Regions from separate parts of the Mus musculus genome. Here region 1 is reported to be linked to region 2. The links are microRNA targets in miRTarBase. Many come from high-throughput screens and were not tested one by one. Region 2 holds a microRNA gene; the other region holds the end of a gene's coding sequence.
Evidence for each region. The annotated mature microRNA mmu-miR-669j reads UGCAUAUACUCACAUGCAAACA and lies in region 2 at 1,318-1,339, shown strand. An mRNA with a match to its seed (bases 2 to 7 or 8) in the 3' UTR can be bound and repressed. Matches are read on the target gene's strand: a 7mer-m8 pairs with bases 2 to 8, a 7mer-A1 pairs with bases 2 to 7 and ends in A, and an 8mer does both.

Region 1: the mRNA of Cysltr1 is a reported target of mmu-miR-669j. Seed matches in the 3' UTR shown: 8mer at 1,782-1,789 and 7mer-A1 at 1,835-1,841.

What each region holds. Positions count from the first base shown.
Region 1 is chrX:106,574,320-106,578,742 of GRCm38, reverse strand. Cysltr1 (cysteinyl leukotriene receptor 1) reads left to right here. Exons shown (of 4, transcript NM_021476.5): 4 at 1-2,234. The coding sequence ends at 923. Among named protein-coding and RNA genes, the nearest start is that of Gm5127, 6.7 kb to the left of the region's middle.
Region 2 is chr2:10,476,672-10,481,094 of GRCm38, forward strand. It overlaps Mir669j (microRNA 669j), which reads left to right and starts at 1,239; the gene lies at 1,239-1,359. The region is part of intron 10 of Sfmbt2 (Scm-like with four mbt domains 2); the gene reads left to right. It overlaps Mir669a-1 (microRNA 669a-1), which reads left to right and starts at 182; the gene lies at 182-278. It overlaps Mir669g (microRNA 669g), which reads left to right and starts at 479; the gene lies at 479-601. It also overlaps Mir467a-2, Mir466e, Mir669a-4 and Mir466b-8.

The DNA of each region.
Region 1 (4,423 bases), not on the chromosome of region 2:
CTGTGATCTCTGTTGTGGGTTTCTTTGGCAATAGCTTTGTGCTCTATGTCCTCATAAAAACATACCATGAGAAATCAGCCTTCCAAGTATACATGATTAATCTAGCCATAGCAGATCTACTCTGTGTATGTACATTGCCTCTCCGTGTGGTCTATTATGTTCACAAAGGCAAGTGGCTCTTTGGTGACTTTTTGTGCCGCCTCACCACCTATGCCTTGTACGTTAACCTCTATTGTAGCATCTTCTTTATGACAGCCATGAGCTTTTTCCGGTGTGTTGCAATTGTCTTTCCAGTCCAGAACATTAATTTGGTTACACAGAAAAAAGCCAGGTTCGTTTGCATTGGAATTTGGATTTTTGTGATTTTGACAAGTTCTCCCTTTTTAATGTACAAATCTTACCAAGATGAGAAAAACAATACTAAATGCTTTGAGCCTCCACAGAACAATCAAGCTAAAAAATACGTTTTGATCTTGCATTATGTGTCATTATTCTTTGGTTTCATCATCCCTTTTGTCACCATAATTGTCTGTTACACAATGATCATTCTGACCTTACTAAAAAATACAATGAAGAAAAACATGCCAAGTCGTAGGAAGGCTATAGGGATGATCATAGTTGTGACAGCTGCCTTTTTAGTGAGCTTCATGCCATATCATATTCAACGAACTATCCACCTTCACCTTTTACACAGTGAAACTAGACCCTGTGATTCTGTCCTTAGGATGCAGAAGTCAGTGGTCATAACCTTATCTCTAGCTGCATCAAATTGTTGCTTTGATCCTCTGCTATATTTCTTTTCAGGTGGAAACTTTAGGAGAAGGCTATCTACATTTAGAAAGCATTCTTTGTCCAGTATGACTTATGTACCCAAGAAGAAAGCTTCCTTGCCAGAAAAAGGAGAAGAAATATGTAACGAATAATTCAAACTCATCTACAGTGCAGAACAATGAAAAAGAAATTCCCTAACGAGTGTTTTTCTAAATCAAAATTAAAAAAAAATGTTTCCCATTAATAGTTTACAAATAATTATATCTATTTCATTTATAAATACTATTATTTGATATTTTAAGTGTTCAAAACTCAATTTATAACTGTGAACTAACCCATAGATTTCTTTTTGAAGACTCACCAGAAACTTAAGAATGTTTATGGTTCTGAACTATAAAACTGAGTATGAAATCAAGAATATAAAAGGGATTTAAAAGGCTACCTACTAGACTTTTGAGTTCAGCTTTTAAATATAGTTTTAAAATTAGCAAATAGTCATCAGTCACCCTAACATCTCCCTTTGCATGCATGCCATCAGATGAGACCTGGAGATGACTCGGGACGTACATTTGGTCAGCCGTTTCCTTTGTAGTACTGACTAGCTAGGTAAAGTAGTGCCCTGTCTTCCAGAAGAGAATGTTCAAGTACCAGAACAGACCAATATTCAGCCAAATAGCTCCACAGGCTGCATGAAATTTACAATATGGAAAAATAAGGAAGATAAATCTGATCAAAGGCCAGTTTGTCTCTAATTCTCTTCTGCCCTTGACTCAAGCACCGGCAAAAGAATGGTGTTCTTGCTCACAGTGGTTCAATCCCTATTCTACCTATAATCCTTCCTTAATAAGTAAGGCAACTGGCATTCCCATATATGACAGAAGAAGTCAAAATTCATCAGAAGTAAAGAAAATAGGCCTACCTTTCTACATGAGATTTGTTGGAATCAAAATTTACTATGTTAGATAGCAGAAGAAAATTTGAATATCCATGTCATTAATACTTTTAATAAGTATATGCATTTATATGTATGTATATAAATATATGTAATCTATCTTGTTCTATGATATGCATTTATTGTTAGTTAATTATGAGATTTATTGTTGTTTTATACTTATTTCTTTTTTATTAGCATGTTGAAAGTAATATTTGTTTACAGTGATTTTTATATTATAGCAGAAGCTTTGTTCTTAAACCAAACCATTGAAAACAGCTTGGTTGTGACTAAAATATGATATTCATTGACAAAGTTTTGCTGAAGGCCACTTTTTTCCTAACTATGAGTTTCAAAAGTCACATCAACTCAGAAGAAATAAATGATAGCAGAGATGGGAAAAAGAAAAACCATGAATGGAGTTGTGTCAGTATCAGCTACGTGAAAACTTTTTCTATTTCACTTCTGCTGGACCCCTTGGGAAATTGTGTTTAAAGCATAATAAAGAGAGGACTCTAAGGATGAAAAATAACTGGAACTTGTTGATTTCTGTTGAACATGTCTGAAAATTGGCAGTGTCTATATTACTCTCGTTCCTCTTGCTTGAAACAAATATCAAACATATTTGTCAAAAGACATCAGGTCTCATTTGCTACATTTCTGCTTTGTGGTGGGAGAGCATGGCACTGGAAGCCAAGATGTCTGCATGTGAACCTGATCTCTTTTAACCTGGTCTTTCTTAACTTAACAAAGTTAACATACTTTTGAGTGAAATTTGTAAGCCTAAAACCTTAACTTTCTCAGCTGTAAGATAAGAATGATACTTGTTATGCTTTCTTATGGCCATTTGAAGGACTCAAAGGTGGTTAGATATGCTAAAATTGTATCCTAAAATATATATAGTAAGATGCCACTTTAAAGTATTTATCCCTTCTCAGCCTTTTGGCTAAGATCAAGTGTAAAGTATTTATAGGAGAGTTGTTAAATATGCTAATTCATATTTATTGTATCCATTTTTAATTTTGAAAGAATTTGAACAAGACATTGACATAGTTAAATTCTAGTGCATATAATCATTTTGCTCATTTATTCCTATGTCCAAGCTTTTGTTTGTATTTGCTGTTCCACTCACATATGTACCTACGTGTACCATATAGATATGGCACAAAACTTCAGTCACCTGCAAACTCACAATGAATGTATTGTTCTTTCTTGAATTATGTCTTTATAGCCTATGCCATACAACTTACTTCTTACTACTTTCTCCAGTTTCTCCATGTGTATTAGTATTTTCTCCTAAAGGGAAGTGTTCTGTGTAGAATTATCAATTCCTTGAGGTTACAAATTACATCTCTACATGGGATTATATAACATTTATTGTGTGTGTGTGTGTGTGTGTGTGTGTGTGTGTGTGTGTGTAATTTTAATTTTAAAAGCTTTTTAAATGTTTTAAATATTTTACCTGTGTCAATTTATAAATACAAATGCCCTGCAGAGTACATATCATTACTATCCTCATTTTGCCAGCAAGCTACAGAACCAAGATTGAACTCTGGACATTCTGTTGCCAGAATTTACATTCTTAATTTGCTAGGTATCTGTGTCATCATTTTCAAGTACAAAGATTCCAGTATACATGATGGATAGTCCCTAAAGGTTTACTATACAAAATTATACCTTCCATTATCACTGTGCCTTTATTTTTTAATAGGACAGATATATTATGCTCTTGCGACAAGCAGATAAGAGATACTTGATTGACAAATGAGAGAGAGAAAGAGAGAGAGAGAGAGAGAGAGAGAGAGAGAGAGAGGGAGGATGGATTGATGATACATTAAAGTGTGTGCTTTTTAAAGAAAGATTTTTATTTTATTTTTTACTTATACATGTATATTTGTATGACTTTTTATTATTTCTTTTTTACTTATCCTCTCATGTATTATATCCCAACTCCAATTTCCCCTCCTTCACCTCCCTCCAGTTCTCCTCCTCCCCATCTGCCCTCTTCCCTAGATCCACTCTTCTTCCACTTCCCTTCAGAAAACAGCATGTCTCCCAGGGATCTCAACCAAACATACTATGACAAGTTACAATAAGACAGGCATAAACCCTCTTATCAACCAAGTAAGACAAAAAGCGTCCCAAGAACAGGCAAAAGAGTCAGAACATCCACACTCCCACTGTTAGGAGTCCCACAAAAAGACCAAGCTACACAACCACAATGTATTATGCAGAGCACCTAGCTCAGACCTATGCGGACTCACAATTGCTTCAAACCTCCTGATTACCATTCCTGGGTTTGTGAGACCCTATGTGCCCTGCTTAGTTGATTCTGTGGGCCATGTTCTCCCGGTATATGATGAGCATTACACACACCCATGATTTACTCCAAAGAATGCCATAAAAGTCACTTAAAATATTGAAATTAGGAAGAGCTTAATATTTGCAATTCCTAGAAGCAAAATAATAATAATCTATAACATTAACACTCTTACAGTCTTTACATATATCCCTTTGGTCACTAGCAGCCTTTTCAAATCTCATCAACTAGCCAGACTATTTCCTATTATACACTTAACTTTTTATTTCTTTCAGCATGTTTTGCTTGTGTATCCTTAAAATGCATTACTGATCTTAAGCAAATGTTCTATATGTTAAGTTTCAAAATAAACGTGTGTTCTTCTCAGACTGTAAACTGGCTTCTTTGATTATAAAGTCCCC
Region 2 (4,423 bases):
GATATACATATACATACACGCACACATAAGACACATATGAGCACACAGACACATGGGAATGGCACTCATCAATCCATTTGAGTGATAAGTGACTTAGAGTGAAAATGCTTGCTAGAGTTAAGAGTATCAGGAGTTCAAATTCATACTTATCCTCATGAGAGATCAGCTTGTGATTCCTCCATGTATGTGCATGTGTGTATAGTTGTGTGTGCATGTTCATGTCTATATTTGAATATACATAACATACACACACACGTATAAACGCAAGCACACATACACAGACACAGGAATGGCATTCGCCAATCCCTTTGAATGATAAGTGATGTAGAGTTTTAGAGATTATGCAATAGGGGGCATTGAATGGCCTCACTCACCAGGTGTAAAAGATTGACAAAGTCAGGAGGATAAGGATTGCAAATTCATGCTTAACTTCATTTGGAGACATCTTGGTATTAATGTCATGCAACCCATTTATGTGCATGTGTGCTTACTTGTATGTGCATTGTATGTGTTGACATGATATACATAACATAAACACACGTGTATCTGCAAGCACACACACACAGGAAAAATTGCATTCATTTATACGTTTGAATGATATGTGACTTAAAGTTTTCAAGATTATGCAGTAGTGGGACAGTGAATGGTTTTACTCACCAGGTGTGAAAGATTGTGGATCAGGAGTTCAAATGCATGCTTTACTACATGATGACTTAGAGATATGCCTGGGATTCATGTGATGCCCCCTATGTATCCCTATCTGTATCTGTTTCTATTGTGTGTGGATTTGAGTATATGGATGTACCTATCTACACAAATATATACATGTACACAGACACAAACAGAAACACACACACAAACATCAGTGCAACTCATCGATCCATTTGAATGACGTGTGACTTAGAGTTTTAAGATTCCTCAGTACTGAATGGGGAGAGGTCTCACTCAGCAGGTGAAATCCCTTGACAGAGTCAGTTGGATCAGGAGTTCAAATTCGTGCTGAATTTCATGATGAGTTCATGACCAGCATGGGATTCATCTTATGCCCACCAAAAATGTGCATGTGTGTATAGTTGTGTGCATATTCACTTCTCTATATGAATATGCATATACACACATGCACACACATTCATAGGAATGGCCAGAGCTATGTCTCAGTTAGGAGGTGAGCACTCTTGCCAGTGTCAGGAGGATGAGGAGTTCAAAATCATGTTTAACTTCATGATGAGTTAGAGTTCAGCATGCGATTCATGTGATGTCCACCAAGAATGTGCATGTGTGTATAGTTGTGTACATATTCACTTTTGTATATGAATATGCATATACTCACATGCAAACATACTCCCACGAATGGCCCGAGCTATGACTCAGTTAGGAGGTGAATACTCTTGCCAGCATCATGAGGATGAGCAGTTCAAATTCATGTTTAACTTTTTGATGAGTTAGAGATCAGCCCGGAATTCATGAGATTTTCCCTGTGTTTGTGTTTATGTGTATAGGGAAGTATGCCTGTACATGCACGTATATGAACATGCATATATATATATATATATATATATATATACATACATATATATATATATACACACACACACAACTAGGGACACATACATGTGCACACAAACACACATGGCAGTCATCCATTTGATTTATACGTGCTTAGAGTTTCATTGAGTTTATATTCATGGTATAGGGAAAAATCTCACTTATCAAATGAAAACTGTTTGCCAGAGTTAGGAGTCTCAGGAGGTCAAATTCATGCTTAACTTCATGATGAGTTAGAGATCACCCTGGATTTGTGGGATCGACCCTAGTTATGTACATTTGCATATAATTGTGTGTGCACGTACATGTGTATATATGATCATCCCTGTAAATACACACACATACAAATGTATTCACACATACAGGCATGCACACTCACACACATAAGAATGACACTCATTGATCCATTTGAATGATATATGTCTTAGAATTTTGCTGATTATAAAGTAGAGGGACAGTGAATATTCTCTCTCACCAGGTGTAAACAATTGGCAGTGTCAGGAAGATCAGGAGTTCAATTTTATGCTTAACTTCATGAGCAGTTAGAGATCATCCTGGAATAATGTGATGGCCCCTATGTATGTGCCTGTGTGCGTAAGTGCCTGCATGTATATGCGTGTATATTTTATGCATATACATACACACACCTACACACACATGCACACAGACATGCGGGAATGGCACTCACGGATCCATTTGAATGATATGTGACCTACTGCTTTGGAGGTTATGTATGACTGGGCCAGGGTGAGGTCTCACAAACCACGGGAAACCCTTGGTAGAGTCGGGAAGATCAGGAGTGCAAGTTCATGGTAAAGGCATGATGTGTTAGAGGTCATCCTGGCATTCATGTGATTGCCCCTATGTATGTGTGTATGTGTTGATGTGTGTGTACATGTACATATGTGAATATGATATACATATACATACACGCACACATAAGACACATATGAGCACACAGACACATGGGAATGGCACTCATCAATCCATTTGAGTGATAAGTGACTTAGAGTGAAAATGCTTGCTAGAGTTAAGGGTATCAGGAGTTCAAATTCATACTTATCCTCATGAGAGATCAGCCTGTGATTCCTCCATGTATGTGCATGTGTGTATAGTTGTGTGTGCATGTTCATGTCTATATTTGAATATACATAACATACACACACACGTATAAACGCAAGCACACATACACAGACACAGGAATGGCATTCGCCAATCCCTTTGAATGATAAGTGATGTAGAGTTTTAGCGATTATGCAATAGGGGACATTGAATGGTCTCACCCACCAGGTGTAAAAGATTGACAAAGTCAGGAGGATAAGGATTGCAAATTCATGCTTAATTCAGTTAGAGATCATCCTGGTATTCATGTGAGGCCACCCATGTATGTGCATGTGTGTTTACTTGTATATGCATTGCCTCTGTTGACATGATATACAAAATATAAACACACGTGTATATGCAAGTACAGACACAGAGAAAAAAATTGCATTCATTTATACGTTTGAATGATATGTGACTTAAAGTTTTAGATTATGCAGTTTGGGACAGTGAATGGTTTTACTCACCAGGTGTGAAAGATTGTGGATCAGGAGTTCAAATTCATGCTTTACTTCATGATGACTTTAAGATATGCCTGGGATTCATGTGATGCCCCTATGTATCCCTATCTGTATCTGTTTCTATTGTGTGTGGATTTGAGTATATGGATGTACCTATCTACACAAATATATACATGTACACAGACACAAACAGAAACACACACACAAACATCAGTGCAACTCATCGATCCATTTGAATGACGTGTGACTTAGAGTTTTAAGATTCCTCAGTACTGAATGGGGAGAGGTCTCACTCAGCAGGTGAAATCCCTTGACAGAGTCAGGTGGATCAGGAGTTCAAATTTGTGCTGAATTTCATGATGAGTTCATGACCAGCATGGGATTCATCTTATGCCCATCAAAAATTTGCATGTGTGTATAGTTGTGTGCATATTCACTTCTCTATATGAATATGCATATACACACATGCACACACATTCATAGGAATGGCCAGAGCTATGTCTCAGTTAGGAGGTGAGTACTCTTGCCAGTGTCAGGAGGATGAGGAATTCAAATTTATGTTTAACTTCATGATGAGTTAGAGTTCAGTATGCGATTCATGTGATGCCCACCAAGAATGTGCATGTGTGTATAGTTGTGTATATATTCACTTCTGTATATGAATATGCATATACTCACATGCAAACATATTCCCACGAATGGCCCGAGCTATGACTCAGTTAGGAGGTGAATACTCTTGCCAGCATCATGAGGATGAGTAGTTCAAATTCATGTTTAACTTTATGATGAGTTAGAGATCAGCCCGGAATTCATGTGATTTTCCCTGTGTTTGTGTTTATGTGTATAGGGAAGTATGCCTGTACATGCGCGTATATGAACATGCATATATATATATGTATATATATGTATATATGTATACACACACACACACACAACTAGGGACACATACATGTGCACACAAACACACATGGCAGTCATCCATTTGATTTATGCGTGCTTTGAGTTTCATTGAGTGTATATTCATGGTATAGGGAAAAATCTCACTTATCAAATGAAAACCACTTGCCAGAGTTAGGAGTCTCAGGAGTTCAAATTCATGCTTAACTTCATAATGAGTTAGAGATCACCCTGTATTTGTGTGATGGATCCTAGGTATGCAAAAGTGCATATAATTGTGTGTGCACGTACATGTGTGTATATGATCATACATATAAATACACACACATATAAAATGTATTCACACACACAGGCATGCACACTCACACACATAAGAATGACACTCATTGATCCATTTGAATGATATATGTCTTAGAATT